Linked DNA regions of Saccharomyces cerevisiae S288C. Changing the gene in region 1 together with any one later gene gives a genetic interaction. Each region holds a gene or a part of one and is shown on either strand. Other genes may lie near its edges. The genes, in order: RFS1 and KIN2.

The links.
Region 2: mutations in RFS1 (region 1) and KIN2 together harm fitness more than expected from each alone (negative genetic interaction), as found in Saccharomyces cerevisiae (3 studies listed by BioGRID).

What each region holds. Positions count from the first base shown.
Region 1 is NC_001134.8:334,206-350,175, forward strand, and holds RFS1 (flavodoxin-like fold family protein), read right to left. Parts: upstream 5,148-15,970; coding exon 4,515-5,147; downstream 1-4,514. Other genes in the region: DNA-binding protein REB1, read right to left, coding at 181-2,613; protein phosphatase regulator REG2, read right to left, coding at 2,978-3,994; YBR053C (regucalcin), read right to left, coding at 5,470-6,546; YRO2 (Yro2p), read left to right, coding at 8,896-9,930; U4/U6-U5 snRNP complex subunit PRP6, read right to left, coding at 10,397-13,096; MRX18 (17-beta-hydroxysteroid dehydrogenase-like protein), read left to right, coding at 13,674-15,179.
Region 2 is NC_001144.5:324,709-341,381, reverse strand, and holds KIN2 (serine/threonine protein kinase KIN2), read right to left. Parts: upstream 8,793-16,673; coding exon 5,349-8,792; downstream 1-5,348. Other genes in the region: MIM2 (Mim2p), read right to left, coding at 1-57; lysophosphatidic acid acyltransferase ICT1, read left to right, coding at 454-1,638; CHA4 (Cha4p), read left to right, coding at 1,909-3,855; SCF ubiquitin ligase complex subunit HRT3, read left to right, coding at 4,117-5,151; IOC2 (Ioc2p), read left to right, coding at 9,267-11,705; GIS3 (Gis3p), read left to right, coding at 12,144-13,652; NYV1 (Nyv1p), read left to right, coding at 13,967-13,982, 14,124-14,869; SUL2 (sulfate permease), read right to left, coding at 15,157-16,673.

The DNA.
Region 1 (15,970 bases):
GTAAGTTGGAAATAAAAACAGTTGGCGTCAAGGAAGAAAAAGAAAGTCAATATCCGGCAATAAGTGAAGACAAGATTTGCCAAATTGTTACAGGGCTAAAAAAAAGATAAATGATGAAAAATAACGCGTACTATCAAACATTATTGAGTTTTTCGCTTTCACCAATTATATTTTCCGGAATTAATTTTCTGTTTTCATTGAAATATTGGAGCTAAAATAATCAACTAGCTCTTTACTGATTTCATTGATTGATTTTTGCTTATAGCCTTTGACCTTTTTCTTCATTCTTTCATAGCACAATTTCAACTCTAACCCATTTAATTTCATGCCAGGCTTCAAAGCTGCAAGTTCATCCCAATCTACTTGAGAATCTTCTGTTATACCTAAATCTCTTAATTTTTCAAAAATCCATAACATATCATCATCTTTTACAGTCTGAATTTTGGCAATTGCTTCCCTTTTGACCAATTTATTCCATTTATAACGACATTGAATACGTGATCTCGTACCGCCCATACGCTCACTGACAATGGTCCAGTTAATGATGTCTTTGAAATCTAACTTACCGTTACCCATCAAAGATTTCCTCAGTTTATTATTGTGACGTCTGATTGTATTTGACAAACTTTTAGAATGTGTGCTTGTTGCTGATGGAGCAGGTACCATTGAGTTCTGGGAATTATCATCGAGCTGTATACCTAATGAATCGTGGGGTTTGTCTTCGTCTTTGTTGTCTCCCAGGGATGAAGAAGCAGCAGCGGCAGCAGCGGCAATAGCATCGTCATCATCTTGCTGCTTTTGTTGAAGAAGTTGTTGTTGTTCTTGAATAGCAGCAGCAGCAGCTGCTGCTGCAGAAGCTGTATCATCATCGTCTTCATCGTTATTGCGATGATCATTCTGGTCATCTTGCAGTAAATGCTGTTCTTCTTCCAATAAGTTTGGATGCAATTGAGACTGTTGTTGCTGGGCTTCTTCCAACATATCGCTGATAACCTTTTTCAGAAGCTCTTCTTCTTCAACGGACCATCTATTTGATGCTCTATTGGTACCACATTTTACGTAGTTTCTCCAACGATCCCTACAATCTTCTGGCATTCTGCCTAAAGTTTTACCTATTTCTGCCCATTGACCTTCTTTTTCTGCACATAATTTAGCTAGCTCTTGTTCCTCCTCCGCGGTCCATTTACCACGTTGTTCAAAAATGTGATATTTTCTTCTCATGTGTTTGTAGATAGAGGAGCTAGATCTATAGGGTAAGACTTTGTAAATATTATTCCAAAAGTTGTCCTTTGGCCTGTCGGAACTCCATATCCTTTCACAAACTTGTTGTCTAGTCAAACGTTCAATGGCCTCATACTCGTTAATAAATCTTTCTAAAGCGGCGTCTTCGGCTTTATCAAAAGCTTTGCTATTGTTAGACCTTGAAGTCGATGGCGTTGCTGAGGATGAGGATAAAGATACCAAAGATGATGCCTTTGTGGCGGCTGATTGAAGTAGTTGAGATATTTCTGAATTGTCCACGCTGCCAGCTTCATTATCATGAGAGGGAGATTTTTGTTGGTGTGGTTGAGTATCTTGAGAGATAACTTTGGGCAAGACTTCCATATAATTTCTAGATTTGTTGAGGGAACTATCCAGCATAGAGTCTTTCTGCAGTTCAGAGTATTGCTTTGTACTATTTGATAAATCATCTGTATCATCATTGTGATTCTTGTTCTGATGATTCAAACCGTGTGTACGCATCAAATGATCTTTAATATGCTTTAATTTTTCGTTATCGTCAGTATCAGCCGCAGTATTCAAGTATTGCTGGAAATCAGGATGTTGGGTAATCGAATCAGCGTCGATAATGGCCTTATGGACCAGTTGATCACGATCAATCACATCATTATTAGTATCGTTGTCATCTGCATCACCCAAGGTGGTTAATTCCGGATCTACGTTTCCAATTTGTCTGTCATCGTCATCATTATTGTTTTTCCGCTTTTTCTGTGAATTCTCATGATTATTTCCGTTATCATGCTGTCTTTTACGCGAATTGCTATCGTTCGCAATACTGTTATTATTATTGTTATTTTTCGATAGAGTGTAAGCAGCAGCGACGGCGGCCATCGCCATAGATTGATGATCATCGTCCACACCAACACCCGCATCTTTCTTATTCTTGTCGTCGTCGTCATCCACGACTATGTCAGATTGAGAAAAGTGATTATTACTGTCATTGCCGTTGTCAGTGTTATTATTGTTTTCGTCATCTTCGTCGTCTTGTTGATTATGCGCTGTTTGCCTTAAATACCAATCCATAACTGCGTTATGTTGTTCATTGGAGTTGGCATGATCCACATTCGAAGATGATTCGTTCGCATTCAATGCGCTAATATTTTCAGAATCATCATTATTATCCTCGTTTCTATTACTGTCATCATTGTTATTAACATCAACATCACTACTACTTTCCACAATATTCTGCTTTTTCGAGTGTTTGTTTTCCAGATCCTTCGTATGCAATTGAGGGTCATGGTTCTGGTGATCTAGACCTACACCGACATATTTCAAAACAGCCTCTTCCACAGACTCTTGATTTGCGTTTTTATCGTTATGACCTGAAGGCATATTGATTGAGCTATAAATATTCTAATTCAGCAGCAACACGTGAGTTCAAACTAATAACGATAGTGTGTAGATAACCTTGCTTGTGATGATGTTTATTTATTTACTTTAGGTTGGGTCCACAGCAGGGTAATAACAGCCTGAGTTTTGTTGTTTTATCTTGTGTGGTCAAGAAAGCTGCCATTTGTTTGTCGTTGTCCTTTGTGAGGGTAGGTCCCTTGGCCGCCTTTGGTTTGCCACCCGGCATGGGCCCAATTTGAAAGACGGGTAACAAAGTTGTTGCTATATATCACGTGATCAATTTTTCCGAGGAGCTTCTAGAAGAAAATGAGACACAATTTCAATGTATTGAAAGTTTACGTAAAATTTATAGGAGCAGGTTGGGTATACTGGTGTCTATGTAAGCGTCAATGTCATTTTCTGTTTCAGCGTCAGTATCAGTATCAGTGTCAGTTTCCGACTCGAAAATGAAGGTCGAATGACTTGAAGTTGACGAAGGTTTTACGGGGGAATGATGACTTATGTTGGATAACTTGAGATCGGAGTCAACCCGAAGCACACTACTGAAATCTGTTTCTCCTGCCTGTAACAAAACATTTCTTGGAACATCGCGAACATCGTGCCCACGCTGATAGTCTCCACTATTACTACTGATAATGGCAGTGGCAGCGGCAGTCGTAATAATTGCGTCACTCGCGACGTAAACGCTGTTATAATCATAGAAACTTCGCTTACTTGCTGCGTTGCCAATACAGGGATCTAGTTCAGACTTTGAACAAGGGCGCTGTTCATCAGTCGAATTCAACCGTGTAGAAGGAAGCCTTTGTATGAAATGCTCATCAGTTATAATACACTGTTCAACGTTATCGTTAAATTTGATATGCCTCTCTCGTGGCTTGCCCATTATATCTCTCCTTTTGCGTGCCTTAAACCAGCTTCTCCAAAAAAGGTTCTCCAATCTTTGATCATTGTCCACTTTCTTGTGTTTTTGTAACGGTAAAACATTTTCATTTTTTACAGTGTTGTTCGAGCTTCTCACATGCTTATTATTTTTATTGTAATTGTTTTTACTACTACAATTGATAAACTTGATGAATTTCCATAAATTTAAATTCAAGATTAAACTTCTTTGCTCGTGAAAGTCGAAATTTTTCTTCTTTACTGCTGGCAACATGCACATTCTTTTCTTGTTTATTTTCCACTGTTTGGCATTCAAAGACTTGATTTTTTTTAAGCAATACGTACCATTTGCAGCGGCGGGAGGATATCCCATATCGTTTCTATTCATCAAAGTTCTGACCGCCTCAACGAATTTACTACTTTCTTCTTCCTCTGGAGGGTCCTGGAATAAGTTATCCAAAGAGTCGCAATTACTCAAAGTCATTCTCACACACTTTCTTGTTCCTATTTTTTTTTTCTTATTCCAATATATTATTTTATCAGAAGACAGACAGCAAGAACGACAGCCTAAGTTTCGAGACAACGCTAAATTTGACGGACATGCGAAGACATGCCATATATAACAGTACGTCCAGGAAGAAGCTGCAACTCAAGAAGCAATAACTATTTTATGCATTATTAGTTAATTAAAGGGGGTATGGTGTGGCTAAAAACGAGTAAAAAAGCAGCTTGTTGCGATGTTAGTAATGATAACTATAAGGTTTCCGTGTTGACACAATAAGCGTATAAATTTAATCACTCCCCCCACGTTTTTTTATCCAGTGCTGCCCCGCCACATGCAATCGGGCCGTCGGAAAAGCAAGAGAAGGACAAACTATCGGGCAAATGGCCTGGAAGGGACCTTCCCCATTGGCCCTTGACTATAGTCCTTCAGTCCTTCAGTCCTTCAGTCCTTCAATGTTACAGTTATACCATATCGTACTTATGTAAAGATATATACGGTTTTACAAATCTTTGATACGGTCGTAAAAGGCCTTCCCTTGAAGTTGGTGAACTCTTAGCTCGGATAAACTGGGAGGTCTGCCACCGTCGATTCCAGAAACACATCCTGCGCCCCAGGCGCAAGACCCGTTCACATCTTCAACGTCGGTCAATTCCTTGTATGCGTTCTTATACCCCAATGGGACATAAATGACACCATGATGGACCAGAGTACTCATTGCGTTCATGATACACATTTCTGTATCACCCTTGCCGCTTATTGCGCCTGAAACAAACAAACCGGCAATTTTGCCATGGAGAGAACCCTTTGCCCAAAGCCCACCAGTATTCGAGTCCCAAAAGCTTTTCCACTCCGCGGGGAAGTTTCCAAACTTAGTAGGTATTCCGAATAAGTAGTAATCGTACTCAACCAACGTTTCTCTTGTTAGGATTTTATAGGAAAAATCTGCATTAGTTTTGGCGACTTTGGCTGCCTCTTTTCCCTCTTCTGTCGCATATTCAGTTTTATAGCTGACGTCTGGCACTTGGAAAATCTCAGCCTCACCACCAGCTATCTCTATACCTTTTTTTTCATTTTCTGCTAATGTGGCAATTATATCGTCCACTGAATAAATCAAAATAGCGACTTTCGGCATTATCTATGTGGCGTAGTATGTGCTTATAATAGTGAGTAGTATGCTGGAGGTCTTGATGTTCGATGTTTCTCGAGAAAAGTGTGATATAAAATGTGGTTTCTTTTTATTTCTTTTCTTTTCCGCTCTTTTATGTATTTTTGATTGTCCGCCCCTTAGGTGTTCCCTCCTTATAACTAGGCAACCAAAATGGAACGGCTATTATTCGATGTATAAGGACAAGTTTGGGAGCTTCGCTTCAATTTGCCCATAAGCGGTGTCATATGACGCTAGTTACATGCGCTGGATACGTATGCTGCATATATATAAACATATGTATATACACCTAGTGGAGAGGTTGTCGCTTTGTAGATTCCAGAGGAACATTTCCGTCTAGCACGTTTGGAATTTTGTAGATGCAGCCACCATTCTTGTCAGTATTGGTTCTTACAGCATCGTTGATTTCTGCATTGGCAGTGGTCACGAAGAGATCTTTACCAACAAAACAACAACATGAAACTCTTGGTGTCTGCTCCGGCAAAATGAACTCCTTCAGCAATTTTCCGTTAGTTAAATCGAACATTTGAACCTTACTGGTGGACCAGACAGTGATAAACAGAAACCCAGAATGTTTTCCGTCTTTGCTAAACCAAATTGCACTTCCATCTGGTTCAGGAGACTCAAAAGATTGATTGTTGGAGTTCTTCACGTCAATTAACTCGTCACGTTTTAGCAAGTCGCCACCAGGACATTTCCAAATAGTGAAGTTTAAAGAATCAGTCACGTACATCGTCTTTTGATCACTTTCATCCCAGTGGATCGCGTTAGGAATTAACAAGCAATTCCAAACAAGCTCTATCTTGTGAGCTAATAGGTCAACACGAAGCAAACACCCAATAGGTTCCAAATCAAATGGAAAATCGCTCATTAGCCCCACATAAATATATTTTCCATCTGGCGAAACGTTCCCATCATTAGATCTCAACTTATATGCTCTGTCTGTACTCAATTCAGGACATTCGGAATACAAAATGACATATTCCCATTCACTTTTGCTAAAATCCAATTTTCCTATGCCAAATTTACTACCAAATAATACTTGTTTGATTTCATTTTGTGAAGCCCCATCAAGTATTGGAAATATACAGCCCACGGATTCTTTTAATTCATCTGGATTGGGAGGGTACTCAATTGACGCATTCTTGCCATAATTGGCTCTACTAATGGAAAAAAAAGAATGACTGGATTCAGGCTGTTCTATGTCTTCGACTTTATGAACCTCTCCTTTAAAAATATCAACCCACAACAGTGTACCGGTTTCCTTAACGAAGGTTATTCCTTCACTATGTATGGCACCGGGAACGTGATAATAAGGTTTTAAATCATGCAAAATAATTTCTTCAAAATCGCCAACACTACTCATTTTACGAAAAGTGTCTAGTTGCTCAATGCATATAAACTTAATCTAAGAATCTTACAGGACATCTTCATATATGTCCATATGCTTTGAATAAGCATTGGCTTCCCCTTAAAGCCCGACCGGGTAAACTTTCACCTAGCTGTTCTTGGCGACCATTAAATAATTTTGAATGCATTTCTAGGAACAAAATCAAGTGCAAGCTACAGCTTTACAATTATAGAATCTGTTGACCAAGTAAAATGGATGAGAAAATTTACGTACGATTTTGTTCCTTATCCATTCAGCTTCTCAGTTAGTCAAGAGGTAGCTGTAGCGGCTTAACGAAAAAGGTATTAAAAAGGGACATACTTTTTTTATATCTTTTCCTTTGGCGTTCACAGTTACTCTTTTAGAACTCCTTGTTGTTGTGTAATGCATTTACCCATTCCCGATATAACTACCACTTTGGAGAACTGTAGACAAAGACCGCTCTTACTGAGTATACATTTTACTTTCGTAGACCGACTTTTAACTCTATTAGGAAAAGCAATTGACTTTTGAACTTCGATGACGATTGTGCAAAATACAAATCGTTTCAAGCGGTGTTCGGAATAGCTCACAGAAATGGCGAAGATATGTTGAAAAATACATACCGATGTCATTTGTGAAAAACAAAAACACAAGCTACAATTTGTATATTTACTCAATTACATATACCAATTGAGTAATAATTAAACAAGAAGGCAAAAATAAACTAAAGCAAAATAGTATACCATCTTTGGTTCCTGGACCACATTTTCTCTCAATATTTTTGAGATGTTTTTCTTTACTTTGTTTTAAGTAGTCTTTCCATCTCCCTTCAACGGAAACAAGTGCACGCAACATGTTATTTTCCTGTTATCCGCCCTGAGCAGTTTTCTTCCCCGGGTGGCAACCATTCTCCAACATTAGACAAACTTTACAAAGAAGACACCCTACCCGGTTGCCTCCAAAGCCCTTCTTTCTTAACGCGAGTACCGCTTTGGGAGGCCTCATCTTGGTTGTGTCCTCGTATGGCAGCATCTGCCATTGAGCGAACCCTTTCCCGTTTTACGCGCATGGCCTAGACCGATCTTTAGCAGACATGCCGAGTGAATTTACCTAAGATTTCTAAGGACTCTTCTGCATGTTTCCGAAAATCACCGGAAAAACCTTCGGTTTTTTTAGACGAAAACTAGGAAGTTGCTTAGCTTTCCTTGTCGTCTTCAAATCTATATGCCATCGGAAGAGAATCAGAAGAGAAGATCACGACTTAAGAGCTTTGCTGTTAAGATAGCAAGAAAGCTTGCCAATAGGCAGTTATGTAACCTAGTTTATCTACACCTTCTTTGATTAACTTAGCTATGTAGGCCGGTGTGTTTGTTCATATCACGGCATACGTTAACACAATGTAAATCTTGCTTTGGGTTGACTGAGGGAAATAACTATAGACATCACACCAATGGCTAAGGGATATTTCGACCTCGCTATGGGTTCTAAATGAGGGAATGGAAAAAAAGGGTAAATTGAAAACAACCTACCGATTTTGGTACCACTTCCGTGATTTTCGATTCTTCAATTTCCGCATAATTTGCCTCAAATAGGAAATCTGAGCTGTTTTTTTCTTACCCTCGAGTGGTCGTTCTGCGGACTTTTCTCCGGTCCAATGCATGAATCCCTTTAAGAAGCATGAAGAAAAAAAAAAATAGCCTCTTGTAAAAGCAAAAATGCCTTTCACTATTTCTGTGTAAACGAATAATTTCGTCATCTTAGTAGTTCACTGGATAATTGTGCTTTCCAATCAGATTAGTTAGTAAAACCCCTAGAAAATTTCAATGTTAGATCGGGATGATTCCTCATCGGGTTGTTGCTTATTCATGATCCTTTCAATTACTGGAAGCTTACCGAAAAGATATATAAAGAACCGAACTTATTCGGTTTACATGTAAGACAGTGTGTTAGTTATGGTTTTCCGCCCTTTTCTTCTCTTGTTTTCTTCGATATTTGTTATTAACCTTTTCTCATTTACGATTATATAATCAAGTGTCAAGATTGTGTCAGCAAATAACAGTAATATTCCAACCCGAAAAAAACTATCTATTTATCTTTGGATACTTTAACATAGACAAGAAGTCCTAAGAACTTACCATAATTTTTTTTCTAAAAACCCTTTTTTACTCAAAACTAATAGCTTATTCTGGTTATTTTTAATCAATCTAGAATTTTTTTCTTTTAATTCCAAACAATCTAATAACGTTTAACCACTAATTCTTTAATTATTAATATTTAATTTTAAAAATCTTCTAATTTTCCTGATAACTTAAAGTGACACTATTTTTTAAAAAAAGCATCAAAATGTCTGATTATGTTGAACTATTGAAAAGAGGTGGTAACGAAGCCATCAAAATTAATCCACCAACCGGTGCTGATTTCCACATTACATCTCGTGGTTCAGACTGGCTTTTCACCGTTTTTTGTGTTAACCTACTATTCGGTGTGATTTTAGTCCCACTAATGTTTAGAAAACCAGTTAAGGACAGATTCGTATATTATACGGCCATTGCTCCAAATTTGTTCATGTCAATTGCTTATTTCACCATGGCTTCTAACTTGGGTTGGATCCCAGTCAGAGCAAAGTACAACCATGTACAAACTTCTACCCAAAAGGAGCACCCAGGTTACAGACAAATTTTTTACGCTAGATACGTTGGCTGGTTTTTGGCTTTCCCATGGCCAATTATTCAAATGTCTCTACTTGGTGGTACTCCATTATGGCAAATTGCTTTCAATGTTGGTATGACTGAAATATTTACTGTCTGCTGGTTGATTGCTGCCTGTGTCCACTCTACTTACAAATGGGGTTACTACACCATTGGTATTGGTGCTGCCATTGTTGTTTGTATTAGTTTGATGACAACTACATTCAACCTGGTCAAGGCCAGAGGTAAGGATGTCTCTAACGTTTTCATTACTTTCATGAGTGTCATCATGTTTTTGTGGCTGATTGCTTACCCAACCTGTTTTGGTATCACAGATGGTGGTAACGTTTTGCAACCAGATTCTGCTACCATTTTCTATGGTATTATTGATTTGTTGATCCTATCTATCTTGCCAGTTCTTTTCATGCCATTGGCTAACTATTTGGGGATTGAAAGATTAGGTTTAATCTTCGACGAAGAACCCGCTGAACATGTTGGTCCAGTTGCTGAAAAGAAGATGCCATCTCCAGCTTCTTTCAAGTCATCTGATTCTGACTCTAGTATCAAGGAGAAGTTAAAGCTAAAGAAGAAGCACAAGAAGGACAAGAAGAAGGCTAAGAAGGCTAAGAAGGCCAAGAAGGCCAAGAAAGCCCAAGAAGAGGAGGAGGATGTAGCCACCGACTCTGAGTAAATGCTTTGATCTGCTGATGTAGCAATGTTTTTTTCCTTCTTTTTCCTGACGTATTATTATTTGAGACCGAAACTTCGCTGGAAAAGAAACACTTCGATCCTTTTTTTATCTTCTGCATTATAACGCGCAACGATGAAGTGTTAATACATGAAAGAAGATGGGATTGGATTGTAGCGACCAAAGGCCACAAATAAATATGCACTGTTTTTAAATTTTTTTTTCATTAAAAAAATACGAATAAATTCCTTAAACACATACATCATTTTGCTTCAAATTTTTACGTTTGTAAGAAAGACCATTTGTTGTCTTAATACCTATGAAGCACTACTTATAATCTTAATTAAATCTAATTCTTTTCTTTAACTTTTTTTTTGAGCATCGCTTCTATCAATTATGTGTATACATACATACATACATATAAATATACGCGCAGGCTAAGTAGAAAACAACGCAAGATAGAATTACTTTATTTGTCATTCATCAAGCGCAATAAAATCTCTCTAGGTGTGCAGTATTGCATTTTTACGTTCTTGGAGGCGGCTATCCATTCGGGTCCGTAAGTAGGCTCACATTGATCGAACATATTGTAGAGATCAACAGTATCCTTGCCTAACCTTGCATATGTCCTAAATAGCCAAACCCATGTATCTCCGTAACGCGAGCACTTTTTCAGAGCTCTTTCTAACCATTTTAATGATGTTTCATATTGCGCTTCTGCATAAAAGGATACTCCAATCTCCAAAAGAACGCGATGATCGTTTTGTGTCCTTCTTAAAGCATCTTGAAAAATTGTTTTTTTTAACGAACTTTTGTTTCCATGCTTAAACAGCTTGATTTGCTCCACCCAAAGTAAAGCATTGCTTGGAAACTTTTGCAATGCCTGTGTGACGAGTAACTCCGCCTGATCTAAGTTACCAAGTCTTATTTCCATTTGGATTTTAGCAATGTAAAATAATACATCGTCAGGATTTTTTAACAATCCTCTATCTAAAATTGATCTTGCCCTTACTGGATTTTTTAGATCAATCTCGTCAATCTTTGATAGGGAAACCCATAATAAAGGGCAATTGGGCACTAACCTTGTACCAGACAAATAGGTTTCTCTACTCATTTCAATATTGCCCATGGAATGATAAATTTGACCCAGCTGTAAAAAAAATTTGTGGCAGATGGGAAATGATTTCAAACATCTCTCATTCAAGAATTTTATAGCCTCTTCATTCAGATCTTGGTACCGCAGAAAGTTTACGTATTTATAATATAATCTTTCCGTGCCACTGATCTTAAAATCCTCTAAAGAGGAGAAAGTTTGCTGAAAAAAATCTCGTAATTCATCAAGTTGTAGTGAACGACCTAATAACTTTATCTTGAAAAAGCGTAAATCCAAATTATGCGGGGCGAAATCTATAATCTGGTCAATCAAAACTAGTGTTTGCCTAGTATCCCCTTTTTGGGCCTTCCAATATTCGCTTACATACATCATTAACAAGCCAGGGCTTTTCTCCCTCATATTTGCTCGTATATCATCACTATTCTTGGTCTGAAATAGCAGCTCCTGGAAAAATGCTAATAACTCTTCAATTTTATGGTAGCTTTCAGTGGCCATTTTCAGTCTAGACCAAAGAACTGTATCACAAGGATCCCACTGAATAAGCTTTTTTAAGACAGCAATTTGTACCTTTGAGTGTGGCATTTTTTCTAATATCTGATCAACATTATTCAACTCAGACTCATACTCGCCACTTTCTCTTAACCATTCTAATATAGCGTAAACGATGGCTTGACAGGTTAAATTTGAATTGGGCGCATCATTTAGAGCCTCTGCACGTTTCAACCATGCTGACAAGGTCGCTTTGTACCCATTTTTAGAGAGTTCCAATAAACCCTCCTTGAGCAAACTAACTAGTTTATCTACAGGTATATCTGGGTTATTTCGTTCTTCCAAGAGTGTAGAGATAATCCAAATTTCCGGTTCTTGCGGAAGGATTTTTCTGAAGGAATTCAAAGTCATTTTAGCATTATGATAGCTTTGCAAATTAGTATATGCAGTCAAGAGATCCATACTTTGTGGAATAAATTGTGTGGCTTTCTCTAACATTTTTATAACTTGCGCTTTGTCAGCTTCAAAACTGACAGCTAGCTTCCATAGGCCCTCATCTCGAGGAATCTCTTGCAGTGCTTTTCTCACTACTCTATATTTGTTAACCGTTGTGCTTTCCAAATCAATAGCTTTGAACCAAAGAAGCGGAGACGTTGGATTAAAATTTATTGCCGTTGCCACTAATGTTTTACAGTAGTGAACATCAGATTCGTGTAGTCTAATGTTTTCTAGCCAAATATCGGAGCTTCGAGGGCACTCTTGGCAACCATTTTCTATTATTTTTTTTGCTACTGAAAATTTTCTTGCCTTTTCTTCTAATCTGGCAGAAGCTATCCAACCCTGTGGATTTGTTGGATCGGCCTTTCTGTATGACTTTAAAATTGTGCGCATTTTCTGTAAATCTTCTAACGTTGCGTCTGAGAGAGAATTTACTCTATCGTTTTCTAAGTCCTTTAAGTAACTTAGGGCATCGGTAGCAGCGTTCGGTTTATTAACCTGTATAGGGTTACTTGCATTCTTCGTTAATTGTGCAAGATTCTCATCTATTTGAGATTGCAATAATTTTTCTCGTTCTTCCGTTAATTTATTTAAATCAACATTCCCAGGTATTAGCGAATCCGGTGCAGCATAAGTTTTTCTGTTTAATTGCTCTTGAATTCTATTTCTCTTGTTTCTTCTTGTAAAATCTGTGGCATCCGGAATATCCATCCACTCACTCTCCGTTACAGCAGCTAATGATTCTTTCAAATCGGCAAATTGCCGTTTCACGTTTGAAGAATCAACTGAATTGTCATCATCCTTTTCATTAGCTCTTTTCTTTTTCTTTTGTGCTAATTTCAATTCAAGCGTTTTGAATACATTTGCAGCTTCATCATCTTCATCATCTTTCGGTTGGCTTTGAAGATGGTTGTTCAAATTTTCACGGTACCTTTTCGGTATTCTTCTTCCTTTGTCATCATTACTAACCACTTGCTTTTCTTTTGTTGAAAATCCAGTGGCTCCACGACCAATACCTGGTACGTAACCTGCAGGTGGTTCTTGATCCAAAAAAGATGGCCTCTCCATAAAATGTGACGTTTTCTTGCTGTTAAACTCTTTATGTCAACTCACCCGTATATTTTCTGAAATTTTTCGTTTTTTTTTGCTTAATAGAACAATCTGACACACTATAAATGTACTGGTTAAATTAGCCCAAGGTTCTATCAACGGTAAAGAAGACTTTTAAAAATACTTTCGTTACATTATTTATTAAAAGAAGAAACGCCATCATTTCATAAAGGTCTCCGGAGGAGCTACTAAAGAAAGAGTGCTGCAATTAATACAATTAATATAAGTGTGGTTATTGAAAATAACTATTCATTTATACGGAGGGTTGGCCGAGTGGTCTAAGGCGGCAGACTTAAGATCTGTTGGACGGTTGTCCGCGCGAGTTCGAACCTCGCATCCTTCAGTAATATTTTTTTAATATACATTTTCTCTGCCATCATGGCTTAAAAAATGCTTAAAAGAAGGGAATTAGGGGGGATGGATGAACTAAGACATAACTTTCTTTTCTTCAATTCGAACTCTGTTGGGAAGAGTTGCTTTAAAAAAGACTCTCTATCCATCTATAAAATTTATTAAAACTTTTGAACTGCACAGAATGATTGGCTCACTTAGAAACAAATTTGAGCATTTCAAAGTTTCTGAAAAGGGAGGTCAAAATTTATCTACAACACTACCGAAACTACCCCCTGCAAAGGACCTTGATAGATCAACTATCTACAAGTACCGTTACAATTATGGTGTAAACTTGGGTGCGTTATTTGTGCTCGAACCATGGATTTTTTCTAAAGAAACCATTTGTACAATCGATGGGAAAGAATATGATAGCGAATTTGATGCTATTTCCCAACAATTGAAGAAGCATTCTTCTGAAGACGTTGCGAAAATGTTAAGCGATCACTATAAAAAGTACATTGATCGAATTGACTGGGAATGGCTATCTAAAGATGCCCATATTACAGCGTTACGTATTCCAATTGGATATTGGCATGTCGAAGATGGGAAGCATTTAGATTCGCTTCCATTTGCCCCATTGAGAAAAGTTTATGAGTTAGCCAAACCTTGGGAAAAACTTGGCGAATTAATCAATAATGCCAAGAAAATGAGCATTGGTGTATTGATAGATTTGCATGGTCTACCAGGAGGCGCTAATTGCGACTCACACAGTGGCTCGAAGAGTGGTGAAGCTGCGTTTTTCCACAAGGAAAAGTACATGACCAAAGTCTACAAAGATATTTTACCTGCAATTATTAACACAATGACTCTGGGCAACGAAAACATCATTGGTATTCAAGTGGTTAATGAGGCATGTTTTGATAATAACCCAAAGGGCCAAAAATTCTATTATTCAGAAGCCATTAATACCGTTGAAAAACTTCAACCAGGTTTACCTGTCATAATATCCGATGGTTGGTGGCCCCAACAATGGGCAGACTGGGTTAAAGAAAAACATTTTAGTGAAATAGTGGTCATTGATTCTCATGTCTACCGCTGTTTTTCTGATTCTGATAAGTCGAAGGATGCCAATTCCATTATCAAGGATTTGCCAAATACTGTGAATTTTCCTCATGAAGATGCCGATTATACTGTTGGTGAATTTTCTGGTGTTCTTGATGGACAAACTTGGAATAAAACTTCTGGCGACAGAGACGCTATTGTTCAAAAATACGTACAAACCCAAGCAGATGTATTTTCTCATGTAGCTAGTTGGGGTTGGTTTTTTTGGACTTTGCAGTTTGAATACGGTGATGGAGGTGAATGGGGCTTAGCTCCCATGATGCAGAAAGGAAATTTACCAAAACGTCCTCACGGTGATGACTTACAAGTCGACAAGAAGAAAATAGATTCAATAATCCATGAACACGAGGCTTATTGGAACGGTAAAGGTAAAAATTTTGAACACTGGAGGTTTGAGGATGGCATAAAGACAGCTGTTGATGATATAATTGCCTTTAGGAAATTTGACAATTCATTAATTGGTAGATGGCATTCATGGAAGTCGCAAAGAAGAGCTGAATACGTTTCTGCCAAAAAAGATAGCGAATTTATGTGGGAATGGGATCAAGGCTACCAACGTGGGTTAGATGAGTTTAATAAGTATTAAGAAATATACAAACACATATATACTAACTATAGGCGTTTCTATTCTTTTGGTTTACTGTCGAAAATAAAAAAAAAGCTGTTGTGGCGGCACTTCGTAAGTTTTCAATTATCCAGCTACTGCCAGTAGAGTACTCAATACTTTTACTTTCAGCTGAAATGAGGTTTTTCTTTAAATGAAGTTGATACGCAATATCATAAAAGCACCGGAATAATGGTAATCAAGATGAAGCGCTATGATATTTTTAGTATTTGCCATCTTCAAATCATTCTATTTTACCCAATAGAACATTCAAGTAAGGTGAACTATTTAAATTAAAAACTCAAGTAACATGGGCGATCTTTAAGCATTTGAGAGTTATTAAAAATTTCCGAATAGAGCAATAATGGAGGAAATTAAGTAAAAACTTTGAGCCAAAATAAATAATATTACAAAGCAAGCCAGAGTCTCTTTTTAATCAGAGGAAAGATGAGTTGATAAGCGTATAAGCTACTCTGCTGTGAATGTTTGAATCAACCTCCCAAAAGATGTATTGGAGGTATTAAGCTGCCTTGAAGTTGGGATTTGGCAGGGTTATAAAAAAGGCGTCATTGGCTAAACATGCAGCCACACATATTGTTGTTTCATAGCCATAAACTTTGATATAATGACCGAAAATTGTTTTTGCGTTGTTCCATAAGCCCAGCTGCCCGTTGGGTATTTTGAACTTTTGTCGCCAGGTATCGGCCGTTCCTAATATTATAGTAGCTTATACCATCAAGAAAGACACTACATCTAACTACTCAAACAAAAGT
Region 2 (16,673 bases), on another chromosome or scaffold:
GCTGTTGATTGTGTCGATGCCCTGCAGGATCACAGAGGTATCCTCGCTATCTGCCATGTTCTAGTTATTGTTGCTCGTGCAGTGATGTGCTGTGGTGCTGGGGAGTGGTTTGCTCTGCCGATCTTGCTTGTAACGGCCGGCCGTTAAATGGGCCTTCGGGGTCCAAACGAGGCGCGGTTTCGTGAATCTTGCTTGGCTGTTTTTGGCTTGTTAATCCCAATTTGCGATAGTTTACGTTTCCACGGGGCACTGCTCAACGGGTTTAGTTCCGTGGAGCAGATGTGTTGCAGATACTAGTTGATATTTATGTTGATGTTGATCATTCTTGTGGCACAAAAGTATAAATAAAGCAGCGTGCTCTTTTTTGTACGTGGAGTAGTAGAAGTATATTCGCAGGTCTTTCTCTCATTGTTCAGGACATATACATACGTAAGCGTAGTTTTCTTCAGTAGAATGTGGACAAACACTTTCAAATGGTGCAGCAAAACTGAGAAGGAGACCACTACTGCAGACGCCAAGGTGTGTGCTAGCGTGCAGGGCCTGAAGGCCCTGCAGCAGCAAATTATGGATAGCACCACTGTGCGTGGGTCCGTTAATAACACGATGACTCCAGGCGGGATTAACCAGTGGCATTTCCACAATAAGCGTGCGAACAAAGTGTGCACGCCTACAGTACTAATCCATGGATACGCTGCCTCGTCGATGGCGTTCTACAGGACGTTTGAGAACCTGTCAGACAACATTAAAGATCTATATGCCATCGACTTGCCAGCCAATGGTGCCTCAGAGGCGCCAGCATTGCAAGTGAACAAAACCAAGAAGATCAAGTCTCTCAGGTTTAAGCATATAGAAGATGACGTAGTAATCCCTGTGATAGAGAAGCGCCCCCCAGCAGAGGACATCAAGTCACACCTGGAGCAGTACGAAAGCTACTTCGTAGACAGGATAGAGCAATGGCGGAAGGATAACAAGCTTCGCAAAATAAACGTGGTGGGCCATTCATTCGGAGGATATATTTCATTCAAATACGCCCTCAAGTACCCTGATTCCATTGAGAAACTGTGTCTCATATCTCCTCTTGGTGTGGAAAACAGTATACATGCTATCACCCACAAATGGGAGCCCAACACCACCTATCCACTTACGTTTACCGACCCATCGTCCCGATATTATACAAGAAAGCTGAACGTACCGCGGTTTATCTTTGAAAACCAGCTAAACGTTTTGAAGTGGATGGGACCCATAGGCTCCAAATTGTGCTCGAACTACATCTCCACCGCATACGTAAAAGTTCCGGATCAGATATATAAGGACTATCTTTTGCACTCATTTGTCGGGAAGAACCAGACGGTGCAACCACAGACAATCAAGGTGTTCACCCATTTGTTTGAAAGGAATCTGATCGCTAGAGATCCGATAATAAACAACGTTCGTTTTTTGAACCCAGCAACGCCTGTCATGTTCATGTATGGCGAGCACGATTGGATGGATAAATATGCGGGCTACTTGACTACTGAATCAATGCTAAAAAACAAGGCAAAGGCTAGCTACGTTGAAGTCCCTGATGCTGGCCATAATCTTTTCCTGGACAACCCGCAGCACTTTGCCTCTTCTTTAGTCTCGTTCCTGTCAAAGTAATGCCTATATAGAGTAGAGAAGAAAAATACAATATGGAAAACCACGCATATATATATATATATATATAAATACATACATATACATAATACATCACTTTACTTAACCGTATACAAGATAGAGCAACATATACATCAAGAGTGTAAACCTCTCATATGTGAGCGGATGTTCCGATCCATCCCGAACGAAACAAAGCAAAATCAACAAGTTGACATCGCCGTAAGTTTTCAAAAATAGCCCTTTTAAAACTCGAAGCTCTACACAATCGCAGCAATGATGTTGGAGCCTTCACCTCCACCTTTAACAACAACGGTAACACCCTCCCTTCCGTCCAGTTTAAAGAAATCTGTGACAGATAATGACCAGAATAATAACAACGTGCCCAGGAAGAGAAAACTAGCATGCCAGAATTGCCGTAGAAGAAGAAGGAAATGTAACATGGAAAAGCCTTGTTCAAACTGTATCAAGTTTCGTACCGAATGTGTATTCACTCAACAAGACTTAAGGAACAAAAGATATTCTACGACTTACGTAGAAGCTTTACAGAGCCAGATTCGGTCTTTGAAAGAACAGTTGCAAATATTAAGTTCCTCGTCTTCCACAATTGCTAGCAATGCTCTCTCCTCGTTAAAAAACAACAGTGATCATGGTGATGCTCCTAATGAAAAAATCTTAAAGTATGGCGAAACAGCACAATCAGCACTACCATCATCTGAAAGCAACGATGAGAATGAGTCTGATGCGTTCACCAAGAAAATGCCTTCCGAGAGCCCTCCACCAGTTGGCACAAATAGTATATATCCATCAAATTCCTTGTCTATAATAAAAAAGAAGACGGATGGAAGCACAAGATATCAGCAACAGCAGGTCAGCCTAAAAAATTTATCAAGAAGTCCCCTTATCTTAAGATCGTTGTCACTCTTTTTCAAATGGCTATACCCGGGACATTACCTTTTCATTCATAGAGAAACTTTCTTAAGTGCTTTCTTCGGTGATACTAACACTAAAAGTTACTATTGTTCCGAAGAATTGGTATTTGCAATCGCTGCATTGGGATCTTTGATTTCATACAAATCAGAAACTGAGCTTTTTCAACAATCTGAAGTGTTTTATCAAAGAGCCAAGACGATAGTACTCAAAAAAATTTTTCAACTGGAAGATTCTTCGTTAGCTGAATCGTCGTCCTCTTCGAAATTAGCAATCATCCAGACTCTATTGTGTTTGGCATTTTATGACATTGGAAGCGGAGAAAACCCCATGGCTTGGTATCTTTCTGGGCTGGCATTTAGGATTGCCCACGAAATCGGCCTACATTTGAATCCAGAAGCATGGAGTAATGTTTATGAAGACGAGCTGTCAATAATGGATTTTGAAGTGAGAAGTAGAATTTATTGGGGCTGCTACATTGCTGATCATTTAATAGCGATCCTCTTTGGAAGATCAACTTCCTTGCGTTTGTCCAATTCCACTGTTCCAGAAACAGACGAGCTACCTGAAATTGAGACTGGTATAGAGGAGTACATATATGACCCAAAAGTAATATTGTCCACTGCAAACCCCTTGAAGAAACTGATTGTGTTATCGAGAATAACGGAGATTTTTGCATCCAAGATTTTCAGCCCAAACGAAACTCTACTTCAAAGGAGTGAATACTTGGCCAAATTTAATCTGGAGGTATACAATTGGAGAAGGGATTTGCCCCCTGAACTACAATGGACCAAGAGGTCATTGATGGAAATGACAGATTTTAACCCAACCATAGCTTACGTATGGTTTCATTACTATATCGTGCTAATTTCCTATAATAAACCTTTCATATACGAAATCAAACAAAGCCGGGAATTGGTTGAAGGTTATGTTGATGAACTGTATTATCTTTTAAAAGTTTGGAAAAATAAATTTAAGACGTTTGAGAAGGCCACAATTTACATGATTTATTCTGCGATTTTAGCCATCCAATGCATGAAGTCCAACTTGATTAAAAAGGATAGAAAACAAGACTTCTTAAATTTTTTAAGTGCGCCTACCCTGAATTACGAACTTGCTAGAAAATTCATAGAAAACTCTGAAGATGCTTTGCATAATTCAGAAACTATGGATTTATTAGGGACTCTATCTCACGGTAACGATTTTGCCTTAGAGTACAATTTTGACTTTACTTTATTGAATGAGATTGATATGCTGATTGGTGGAAACACCAATGATGGTTTGTCGAAGTAATCTTGAGTGAAGAGGATATGTTTACTTGAACAAATATTCTTTATGTAATGTGTTTGTAGCCTTTTTATTTGGGAAGGAATATACCGCTATCCTTTCCCACCTCCGAACTTATCGATTCGGAATTTTAAAGAGCCTTCCAAATGACAAAAAAAAGGATTGTAGTTCCTAGATAGCGAAATCGACTGAGCAAGATAAAAGCAAACATTCCCCATCATCTTTGGCGACGACACATGTGTTCCATAAGCTAAACTCAAGGAGCAAATGATAGTAGATTATGAAAAGGACCCTAGGGCTAAAGAGGCTATTGCTATTTGGGAAAAAGGTGTACTGAAAGAGAAGGATGGGTCAATGTCAGATGCTATAAACTTCTATCGAAGTGCATTGAAAATCCATGATAATGTGGAATCACTGTACAGAAAAAAAATACTTGATGAGTGGATGCTGCACAAAAAACTATCGGGATTATCAATGACTACTGATGCTCCAGATGAACAAAATGAAACCGGTAAAGATGACTTATCTGTTGAAGAAAATGCTGAACTTCAACCCTGCTGGATTCTGGAAATCTTGCCTGACGACATTTTACTGAGAATTATTAAAAAAGTTATATTAATGTCTGGTGAATCTTGGGTGAATTTGTCGATGACTTGTTCCACCTTTAGCAAGCTTTGCTTCCACGATTCTGTGCCATTTAAAACTTTCGCGAAGTACATATATTCTAAGCAAATATACGACAAAATGGCAATGGATCTTAACGGAATCACCGATATAAATACCTTTGAAAAGGAAATATGGCGGGGTGATGATTATCGTATGTTAAGGGAAAGGCCATATATTAAATTCGAAGGTGTTTACATCAGTGTAGTAAATTATGTAAGATACGGTTCCAATGCAGAAAGTTCGTTATCTCTTTTAAAGCCAGTTCACATGATCACCTATTACAGGTATTTCAGATTTTATGAGAACGGCCAATGTTTGAGATTACTTTCTACAGATGAACCTAGCGCTGTCGTGAAGCACTTCTCCAAAGAGAACAAACCCAGGCATAGTCATATGTGTTATTGGAGCCTCGGATTTGATTATGATTTTGGTCATTTAAAGATAACAAGGTCAGATGAAAAGTATACGTTTATCGAAGAATTCCAAATCAAGAATCAAGGCAATAAGAGATATCAACGGTTGAAATGGCTAAGTTCAATTGTAGTGGATAAGGAAGGGAATGCATCTAACTGTTCGTTGAGAAATGAGAAATCTTTTTTCTTCTCCAGAGTGAAATCTTTCAAGGATCCTGGATGACATCGATGTTTTTTGCAGTTGTTTTACTTTATTTATTATTCTTATAGATTTATGTAGAACTATTATTTCATCATATGAAAGATTAAAGAAAGCAGATCTCAGCTTAAATAAATTATACTATAATATTAAAAAAAGATAAATATTAGATAATAAAAATTGAAAGACACACGTTGAAATATTTAGTAAGAACAACGTATCTATAGGTTTAATTCTTTTAAAATATACGATGCCAATTCTTTATATAGCCACGTATTACCAGAAACCTTTTTGAAATGTACACCTGCTAGGCCGACGATACGAACCTTTACAATGTGAATCTCAAATTTAATAGGAGGCCTTTCTTTTATACCAGAAGTATTGGTTTGCTCTGTTTGACCATTTACGTTATTTATATTTTGGGCTCTTGATGTTGTTAAAATATCATCCTGTTGTTGAACATAATCTAATGACATGGAAGATAGTTCCCCTGATGTACCATTACTTTGGTTTCCGTAGTTTGGAGACATTGGGATAGATGAATTTCTTTGATGTGTATTGGTCGCTAAAGGTGTTAGTGGTATATTATTCTGGCCCCTCTTATAAGAACCTTGGCGTTTTATCGAACTATTTCTTGATGCTGAGGACGCTGTACTATGGTAACTGGATGATAATTGACTGTCTAAACTATTTTGCAGATCCATCGCCTTTCCGGAATCCAAACCCACGCCAGTAGTGGTTATAACAGGGACAGCTGCAGTCTCAATAGATGGCCTTTGTTGGACACATATGAACCCGCCTTTCACTTCTTTGAAATCAATATTCATTCTTGTTAAAACAGATATGATATTGTGACGAACAATAGGCAATGGTTTAGAGGAGGTTGTTTGTACAGAGAAAAAACCCTTCAAAAACATTGACTTTGGATAATCAATTGATGGCATAGACCCGGGGGGTGCCTTTGAAGCTTCCTCCAAAATTTGCTTCTCAGTAAGCTCCTGAGAATACACCGAAGTCAGTCTATTGTTAGTATCGTTACTGTATGTGGTAGAATCTTCAGGAACGGTCGAAAAGTTACTGCTAACAGGATTGTATCTCTCCTTGTTTGCCTCTCCCAAAAAGCCGTTATCGTTTGTCATATCTGATGGCGGAAGGGCTGCTGGTATAGGCGGCCTAGTAAATTTCAAAGATTCACGACGAGCATGCCCCACCGATTTAGCCCTTGCACTAGGATGTAACTTACGACCCTTCGGAACGGAGAGATAATGGTCACTATTATCATTATTGATACCATCGACTACAGCGTTCACATTGTTGTTATCATTATCATTAATTTGTAATTTGTCGAGATTTTCCTGTAATAGTTTTTGCCGTTGTTTTTGAACAATTAGTTCGGCGTTCTGAGGTAAAGCTGGAAGATCACTGTTTTGCTTTTGTGATACTGACCTTATAGGAGGTGCTATGGTAGTGTTTTTAGCGGGTTTCTGTTTTACATCAACAGAATTTGGCACGTAAGATGGATATCTTCTAGCGCTAGGAATATAATCTGATATAGTACGACTATGGCTTTTCGGTACTTTGATGGAAATTTCATTTGATTTTGACATATATGTTGGAGGTTCTCTTTCTGGAAGAGGTTCCTGTTGCCGTGTGGGATGCTGAGATTGTCCACTTTGTGATATTCTTCTGAATATGCCGCCTATTGTATTCTTTTCCTGATGTTCACCTACTACGGGTGAAGCAGAACGTTGCTGATATTCGCCAGACACGGGGACTGGTGTTGATTTCAAAACACCATTTAATTCCGTATGAATGTCGGAACTCTTCCTAGATGTTGGAGAAGTATGCGCTTGTTCCGGTATTGTTAGTTTAGGAGGAACCATTACATGCAGTGGAGGTTTGTTTGAGGTATTAGTGTTGTTTGAGGTTCCCGATGTTCCAATTGCCGGCACTTGAAAAATACCAGGATTAGGTACTACTTCTTTCTGAGGGCTCCTCATTTTGGTCATAATATCCGGGGAGTTATTATTTAAGGCGACCTTAGTGCCAAGTGCTACTTGTTGCTGTTGTTGCCTTTGCTGAGCTTGCGCTTGCAGGGCCAATGCTTGCCTTCTTTGCAACTTCGCTAATTTCCGTGCAACCATTTCTGAAACCAAGTGATATATTGATAGTAATGGATGATATGCTAAAGTAGGATCTTCAAAATTACTATCTGGTTCATTATAACCACTTTGCGATGGATTACTTGTAATATGATTTTGTATTAAGGTTTGTTGTGCCGTTGAATTTAGGTAGTTATTATTTAAACTTGAACTCAACCCCTTGGCGTTGGATAATTTGTCCCAGTATTCTTGGGAAAGTTGGATGTATTCCTTTTCAGTTACTAATCGGATCAATGATCTTCTTGTATCTTCAATATCGTCAATAAATTCTAGGCGATACATTTCCTTCAGAACTTGGCTATCTATCATTTCAGGGGTTAATGGAACACGATTAGGAACATATGATGGAGCCTTAAAATCGTATCCTCTGTTCATCCATGGATGCTCAACGACATTCTTTAATGTTGCTCTTCTTAATGGGTCGACAACAATCATCCTGGTTAATAAAGATATAACTTCAATGGATAAGTGTGAAGGATAGTCTACTTTACCTTTTTTTATTTTTTCATGTAAAATGCTTGAGTTCTCATCATCAAATGGTACTTTACCGCAGACCAAGACATAAAGAACAATACCAAACGACCAAATATCTACCTCAGGTCCTGTGTATGGCTGCGCTTTTAATAGTTCTGGTGCTGCAAAGTACAAGGAACCACAAAACGTATGTAATTGTTTCCTATAATCAAAAATGTTGGAAAGACCAAAATCAATGATCTTAATTTCACCTGAACTAGATATCATTATATTCTCAATTTTCAGATCTCGATGAACAATATTATTGGCATGTAAGTATTGCAGCGCACTAGCTATACCTCTGGCAAATTTCCTCGCATGGTGTTCCTTTAATGAGCCATGCTGAATAATATAATCTAACAGCTGTCCACCGGAAACGTATTCAAAAAGCATATAAAAATGGTTTGACATAGTGCACATTTCAAATAAACGACAGATATGAGGATGGTAAAGGATTTGGCCCAAAGAGGCTTCCCTAACAGTCCTTTTATCCCTCGCAATTTCTTTTTCTAACCGCTTTTGTCTTTCTAATATCTCACTCTCATTCTTTGGGGAAGGTAAAGAGTGCTGTTTATGGAGATAAGCCTTGGAAGCCCTATTAACAATCTTTATTACACAAATTTCCTTTGTTTGACGATGCTTGACCAATTTAACTTTACCCATAGAGCCTGCGCCAACCGTTTCAAGGAACTCCCAATCTCCCAAAGATCTTCTATGAAATTGCCTTAATTCCACGGCGCCATTAGGCCTCGATGCATCATTTTGTCTCTGAGCTGCCTGTTCCTTGCCCTGTTTGATATCTGCAGGAGGCATCAGTGGTGCTTGTTGCTGGTCATTTCTTGGTCCAGATTGCTTGCCCATCATGCGAAGAGTGGCTGGTGCAGCAACTCGCGTGTCGTTGAAAGCTTCTGGCGTCGGCGATAAAGATCCGCCCTTACTGGTCCTGAAATTTGGATTCACCAAGTAATCTGCTGTATTCGGATTAGGCATAGTGAAATACTTAACAATTGAGCCGCGATATTAATGGCACAATAAAACTTTTAGAAATTTCTTTTGAAAAGCGTTTCTCGGTACCTAATGCTGTTCGCGCTCAGAGTTCCGCTGAATTTCGTGTAATGCAGTATATTTTGTAATAAAGTTCTCGTGGCCCGTCCTTGACTGTGAATTTGTGTCAACGGCGTGCTCTATTCCTTGCTTAAACGGTGGCAAAGCAGGACTTCTAGGTCCACTTGAGCTCTTCTTTTCCTTTTCCAACCTTTTTAAATTTTCGTTGCTAGACCAAGTTACCGCTATCACCGCACACGGAATGCGAGAGCGTCAAAAGTGACATAATTCTTCCTTTCCAGCAACATTAACATTTATTTATTCAATAGTGACACGACTAAGAAACTAGATCAATTGCTCTATTTTACTCATACACACTGGCTAATCATATATAGATACAAAGCGGTGAATCAGCGATCGATGAGAACGAAGAGAACTAGGGGTACAAGAAATGTAGGAGCGAGCATGCCTGCCGGCGCTGCGAATGCGGATAGTGAAGACTGGAAAGAATATGTCTCCGAAGACATAATAGCCCAATTGAACAAGCACCAGCTGCCGTATTCTGAAATATTAGATGAGAAGATCGCGGACTTGGCCAATCACTGGCACTTCCAGTATGTGATGGCTTGGCTTTCCAATGTCTGCGAATCATATACTACAACGACATTTAATACTGACCAGTATGGCGGTAGCTCTACCAAATGCTTGTGGAAGAATATCAAATTCGATGAAGGTGTATTTGTAACTGACGTATTTTCGAAGATAGACGGGAAGGACTCGAACTATTACAATGATGAAGTCGACGTAGATGAAGGATCGCAAAATTTGTACGACAGAATTAGATTGCAATTATTGCATCAATTAGCGGGAAATAAAAGCGGGCAATTGAAAGATTGGAATGTTATAGTTAACCATCACTTGCAAAACTCGAGCGCGTATTCAGATTTGGTTACGGACTTACCTTTTTTGGAGCTTGAAATTGCACGCCAATTCGACATCATTTACAGTATCATAAAATTAATTGAAATGAAAAATATGATCTTCAAAAACTACTTAGCGAATAACTTGCATCTGTTTACGTTTAGTGAAGTTATACTGGATGATGATAATAGTGGAGGGGAGGAAATGAAGAGCTTGTTTGCCTTACCCAATGTTGGTGTACTCGTAAAGAAAACCATTCACAGAGTAAAAGAAGGCTCTTCCTCCCAAGTCTCTCAAACTCTGAATATCCCAATAAAACTACAGAACTGTACTATAAAAGAAAGCGACCCAGACATTCCTGATTCAGTGGAGCTTATTCATCTCGAGTACTCTCACGATATCGATGCATATCTTCAATCGATTACAATTGATTATGATGTGATTACAACTAATTGGGGGTCCATGCTAGAATACTGGTCAGAGAATAAAAGTTCGAAAGCCATAGATGAGTTCATAACTAACTTAATACCGGTGTATGCCGAACATAGACTATATTCGGCAAAACTTTTGGCCAACAGAGAAAAGGAGAGAGCAATTGCGGAGCTAATGACAAGGAGGAAAAGATCTTCGAGACTGGTAGCGAAAGAGGAAGAAAACAAGAAAAAAGACTTGGAAAGTGAGTGGTTTGAAAAACTAGATGAAAGAGAACAATTTATAAGGCACAGAAACAAGCTAGTGTCGAAGGAAATCAAAAAGATAAAAGATCTTCTTTGGAACCAATTGTGGCAATTGTACGATCAAGATTATAGAGATGAAAAATTGACCAGGCGTAACGAGCTCAAAGATAGAAGTGGTTCTGGTACACCGTTTTTTGAAACGTCTTTGGGCAGGGAGGAGGACAATCCCTTAAATGAAATCGATATCGGAGTTCTTGATCACGGCCCTAACTTTCAATCTAGTATAATCCCGGTGGAACCACCAATTCCTGGAACTGTTGGGCCACTACAGACGGGAGACGTCCCTGAATTGCCTAGTGACTTCTGCATAACAAAGGAAGAGCTAGATGAGCTTGCCAACTACGGGATCTTTACTCCGCAGCAAGAGCCCGACAACCAAGATTCTGTTTTCCAATGTCCGGGCGAACCAGAGCTGGCGCCCATGATTATCACCGAAGACACGGAGACTGACCTCTTCAATAACCGCCCATTGATATGCTGTGATCATTGTTACAGGTGGCAGCATTGGGAATGCCAACCTCCAAAAATTATAGAGCTTATATCTTCAACCACAAAATCCCCACAGCACACGCTGTCGCAACGTGATTTTGGCGTCATCATAATGGGAAATTCGCACGGCAATAGAAGGTCTTCTCGCAGACCCCAATCCACACTTGAACCCAGCACCAAGTCTTCAAGACCTACTGATAAACGCAAACCGCTGTCTGAATGCTCCACTTTTATCTGCGCTTGGTGCATCAGGGACTTGGAACTTGAGCTGCGCAACATTTTTGTGCCTGAATTGAAAATAATAAGGGCCAAACAAAGAAAACAACAGGAAGACCGTGAAAGAAGAAAAAAAATGAAGGAAGAAAAGAAAAGGCTCGAAGAGCTTGCAAAGAAAAGGGAACTAACCGAGTCTGTCTCACCTCCAGTGTTTAATAATGCATTTGCAAACATGTCAAGTAGCACAACGCCTAGTATCGCCGCTTACGAAAAAACAAATCCAGCCATCAATCCAGCACCTAATGTAAATGCCGCTCACCCCATAATTACATACTCGCAGCAAACTGGCAGCAAAACTGTACCACAAGCACCACAGGCACCACAAACATCACAAGCATCAATCCAACCACAGCAGCAACAGCAACAGCAACAGCAACAGCAACCGCTGCACCCTAAAGAACAGAACTTTCACTTCCAGTTCCCACCAACCAACTAGCCTCATATAGAAATACACAGCAAAAGTATATAGTAAAATATATATCAACTGGTTCTTCATGAAACTTTCTTTTCCAGCCGCACATCCGTAGGGCTTCTGTCGCTTCATGTCGGGTAATAATGATGCTTAGGGCTTAGCGCCAAAATAATTAGGGTGTATGAGGCGGCTCCTGACTAGGGTCAGACGGCATTTTTTCGTCTTTTTTTATCCGGTTTTTCGTCAGTGGCCATCCTTAATGCGCGGCAAAGGTGCTGAAGGCGCCTTATTGTGTTAAAAAAGCCAATGAAATAAAAGTGGGATGGTGAGAACGCCAAACGAGTGAAACAGAGAATGGAAACTCGCTTCTTCACAAGTATTTGATGGCTAGTTTTCTCAATTACTTGTTTCTTTGGATAGACACGAACATACAGAACACTTTCAACAAGACATAATTATAGAATGCTGCTGGACGTGAACACAAATCACACACTAATGCACGATGCTCATGTGCATGAACATTGCCTCATCAAAAGCATACGTGATGATGGCGCATTGCACTCATGGAGCGACTCATCAAAGGTATTTTATCCCAAGTCATTTTACGCTACCGCTACTAATAAGAAGAATAACAAGTTAGCCAGCGCCAGCATGAACAAGACCGCCACAAGTAATAGGACGGTGAGCGATGAGATTTATTTCCACTCCACTAAGCCGCAGTTCGATGGTCAAGGAAGCGCTGAACGTACTAGAACACTAACCAAGAGGAATAGCTTCAAGAGGACTAGAATACTGAAGGCTCGAGACGATTCCGAACTGCTGAACGAAAATCGCTCATCTTTGATGACCCCGTCCTTAAGCTCGGTCATGTCGCAAGTTAGGAAAACAAATTCCGCCAAGACGTTATCGGGCGAATGCCCCATACATGAGGGCCACTTAACACAGAGCATAAAGAGGAAGTTCTCCGAGGAAGCTCAAAGCGACTGTTCTTCATTGAGCTCCTCTAAACTTCATCCCTTGACAGATGATATTGCTGACGCTGTCGATTTGCAGACCCCCGCGATTGGCGATGAGGTACTGGCTGAGCCGGTCGTGCCCAAAATGAAAATAATAAACATAAATGATCTCGATTTGTTCGACGACTGGGAGGTTAAGGATTTAGTCGATATCTTTCCTCCCGTATACGAACGGCGTCCGCGATCGTCCTCTGCCCTTTCACTGGTTTCTGCGTCGTCCGATGCCAAACTTCGTCCGACCTCTGTGGACTTCCAAATCATCGACAAGAAAGGCGGCAAGACTTCAAGAAGGAAGAGTAGGAGCAAATCGACTACAGAAAACATGATTTACGAAAATGACCTGGTAGAATTAGAACAATGGCCATCTGCATCACCATCGCCCGAGACCGACGGTTCGATTGCATCTAGCGAGCTCTTGCCCAATAAAAGAATAAGACAAAAAAGTTTGAATACCAATTTCCTAAAGTTATACTCTATTGAAACATCATGTAAAAGGAAGAGTATTTTACCCGAAGTCGAAGTAGATGACCATCTGTTGAAGCAGCTAACGTATTCCGAAATTCGGTCTTTGGAAATCAAAAAGGAGCCAAATGTCTCTACGAACGATATTAAGCTTGCCCTAATTACTAGGAAAAAATTATGGTCTGACATGGTCCATGAAACAAGAAATGATCTTTTTGGCGATTCTACCCCCTGGAATTTGCACTTTGTTGCAACGACAAGCAATACGGAACCTTCGCAAGGCCGTGAATCCGCAAGCGAACATGCAACGGCGGATTTGAAAAGTTCTTTGGTCCGCGTACACTCAGACGTCAAGCCATGGTTCAACAATGGCGGCACAATGCTCAAACCATGCGGAAAACTAAATTTAGGCAAAGTCACCAATAAGACTTCCGCACCTACGAGAGAGATTCAATATGTCGTAAAGGGCTGGTGTGACAGCAGGTTTCTCTGATAGACCCCCCACCTTTTCATCGCCTTCACCCCACCCATTTGCATTATCTAAAAATAGTAAACTATATATTCTACCACCACATTCATTATATATAATATTTAAAACAACGCATTACCACCAAGCGCCCGGGTAATATTCGCCTCAAACGATCGAAGAAAGAAAAAATGAGGTCACAATAATGATGAAAAAAAGCCCCTCTATGAATTTTCTAGCACTTGACTAAGTTGGAGCAACAGCTATTAAATTTGAAGAACAGAGTGAAAAGCGACAATTTATTAAGCTGTTAGAGCATTGGACTTTTATATTTTTACCAAATGAAACGCTTTAATGGTATGTATAAATATTTCTACACAATTAACAAATGTTTAAAAAAGGGATTATGCGAATGCTCATCCCCCCATGCCATAATTTTACTATGTTACATTCAGTAGACTAACGTTCCATTTTGCTTGATTTTGCATATGGTCTTAGTAAGTTATGTGGAAGTTATAAAAAATGGTGAAACAATATCTAGTTGTTTCCAGCCGTTCCAGAAAAACGAAAACTATGGTACAATAACTTCAGCAAACGAGCAGATAACGCCGGTCATTTTCCATAATTTGATCATGGATATGGTATTACCCAAAGTAGTTCCGATCAAGGGGAACAAAGTTACCAAGATGTCAATGAATCTCATCGACGGATTCGATTGTTTCTACTCCACGGATGACCATGACCCCAAAACTGTGTACGTTTGCTTCACATTAGTAGATATGCCCAAGATTTTGCCCATCAGGATACTAAGTGGGCTGCAGGAATACGAGTCCAACGCTACAAACGAACTTTTAAGTTCGCATGTAGGTCAAATACTAGACTCTTTCCATGAAGAGCTGGTCGAATACCGTAACCAAACTTTAAATAGTTCTGGAAATGGCCAATCTAGTAATGGGAATGGTCAGAACACTATAAGTGACATCGGGGATGCCACCGAAGACCAAATAAAGGACGTCATCCAGATAATGAACGATAACATCGACAAGTTCTTGGAGAGACAAGAAAGAGTTTCTTTATTGGTGGATAAAACTTCCCAACTAAATAGCAGCAGTAATAAATTTAGGCGCAAAGCGGTCAATATAAAAGAAATAATGTGGTGGCAGAAGGTCAAAAATATTACGTTATTAACTTTCACTATTATACTATTTGTAAGTGCTGCTTTCATGTTTTTCTATCTGTGGTAAGTAAATAAAAAAAAAGGGGAGCTGTCCCACGACAATAACATTAATAACGGTTGTATTTCTTTTGTTCCTGAGAGGAAGAGAAAAATAAAATAAAAATAAGGTAAATATTTATAGGTATGTATATGCTCACGATGGCACCATCCTACCTATTATTTCTTATTATATAAACAGTGTCTATCTCATTATGATATTAAATGTATACTTTTAAGGGGGAAAACTTTTTGGTTTAGGAATATAGAAAAAAAGAGATGATATAAATGTTTGCATGTCCATTGTAAATGCATTGGCTAGATATCCCATTTAGCAAAATCTGGGATATCGATATGGAAGAAAGGTAGATTTGTTCCTGAAGCGGTATAAACGCTATATTTTTCAGGATTTTCTTCGCCTTGAGGTACTCTGGCGACGTGATAACTTGTATGACCGGCAACAATGGATTCATCACTGTATTCTTCGTTCAGAGTACCAAATCCTCTGCTAATTAAACCTCTCTTCACCCATGGTGAAATGATACCCACAAAGTGGAATTCAACTTGCCTATCTGCATATTGATTTATGGCCTTTCTCAAATCAACCAATGATTGAAGAGCCGTAGCGTCTGTCTGTGCCACTTGTGAGAAGTCTAAGCATAGTATTTTCAGCAATGGCCTGTCATCTCTTTCAACATCGACTGAGGTGCTGGGCGCGTTTTCCATGGATTCAGGGTCGTTCTCCCTTTTCTTCCAGAATTTCAAATTCTTTAAGAAAGCAGGTGCTTCCCATGGACCAGGATCATTCCATGGACGGTCAGATTTTTTTCTGTGGCGAATTAATTGACCACGTCTGGTAACTTTTTTAACTTCTTCGGTTATGATGTTGTAGTGTCTGGAACAGTTGAGATAGGTGTAGCTCTCTGATAGCCTATAAACAAGAACACCGTCTGGTGGGGGGAGAATCTGAACGTCCGGGTTCAATTCTCTTGTGTATTTATGATCAAACGGTATCCATTTAGTATGGTATTTTATCCTTGGCTGGCTAATCGAAGAAGATGGAGAATCAAAGCCCTTTGTTTGAACGTTTGTTTCTATTTTCTTGGAGGAATTTGTGACGTATTTGGTGGAACTTTCCTTGTCATCCTCACCACCATCTTCTAAAGTGGAAATACCATTGTTATTTTCAGACACGTAGCTAACCACATCGGAGTCCGGTCTGACGTAAGCATCAGTAACTTCAGCGACTTCCACACGACCCAAGAATTTTCCCGCTGGGAAAGCCACTTTTAAAATGAGCATTGCACATGACCAGCACATGGCAAAATAAATACCATCTTCAATAGAGGCAAATACCGTTATTAGGACGGTGACAATGAAACAGATGAAGTCCAATGGATTCATCTTCCAGAAATTCCAGGTAGTTTGATAAGAGGCCAAAAGATCAGATACAGCGTGAATGATAACTGCAGATAAGGTAGCCTTTGGAATGTAAAAGAATGCGCCGGTCAAACAATATAATGCTAAAAGAACACATGAACCCGAAAACAAACCAGATAACGGCGTACGGACATTACATTTAGCCTTCAAAGCAGACCTTGAAAAGGAACCAGTCGCTGGGTAAGCATTGAAGAAAGTACCTAAAAGGTTCGAGACACCAATAGCAATCAATTCTTGGTCGGGGACGACTTTATAGTCGTTGATTCTACCAAAAGACTTCGAAATAGCGATATGCTCCAACAATAACACAATAATGGATGCAGGCAAATTTGGACCAAGCTTAGACATTAATCCTGGTGGAACATGGAAAACCCCGACTTCTTTCAAACCGGATG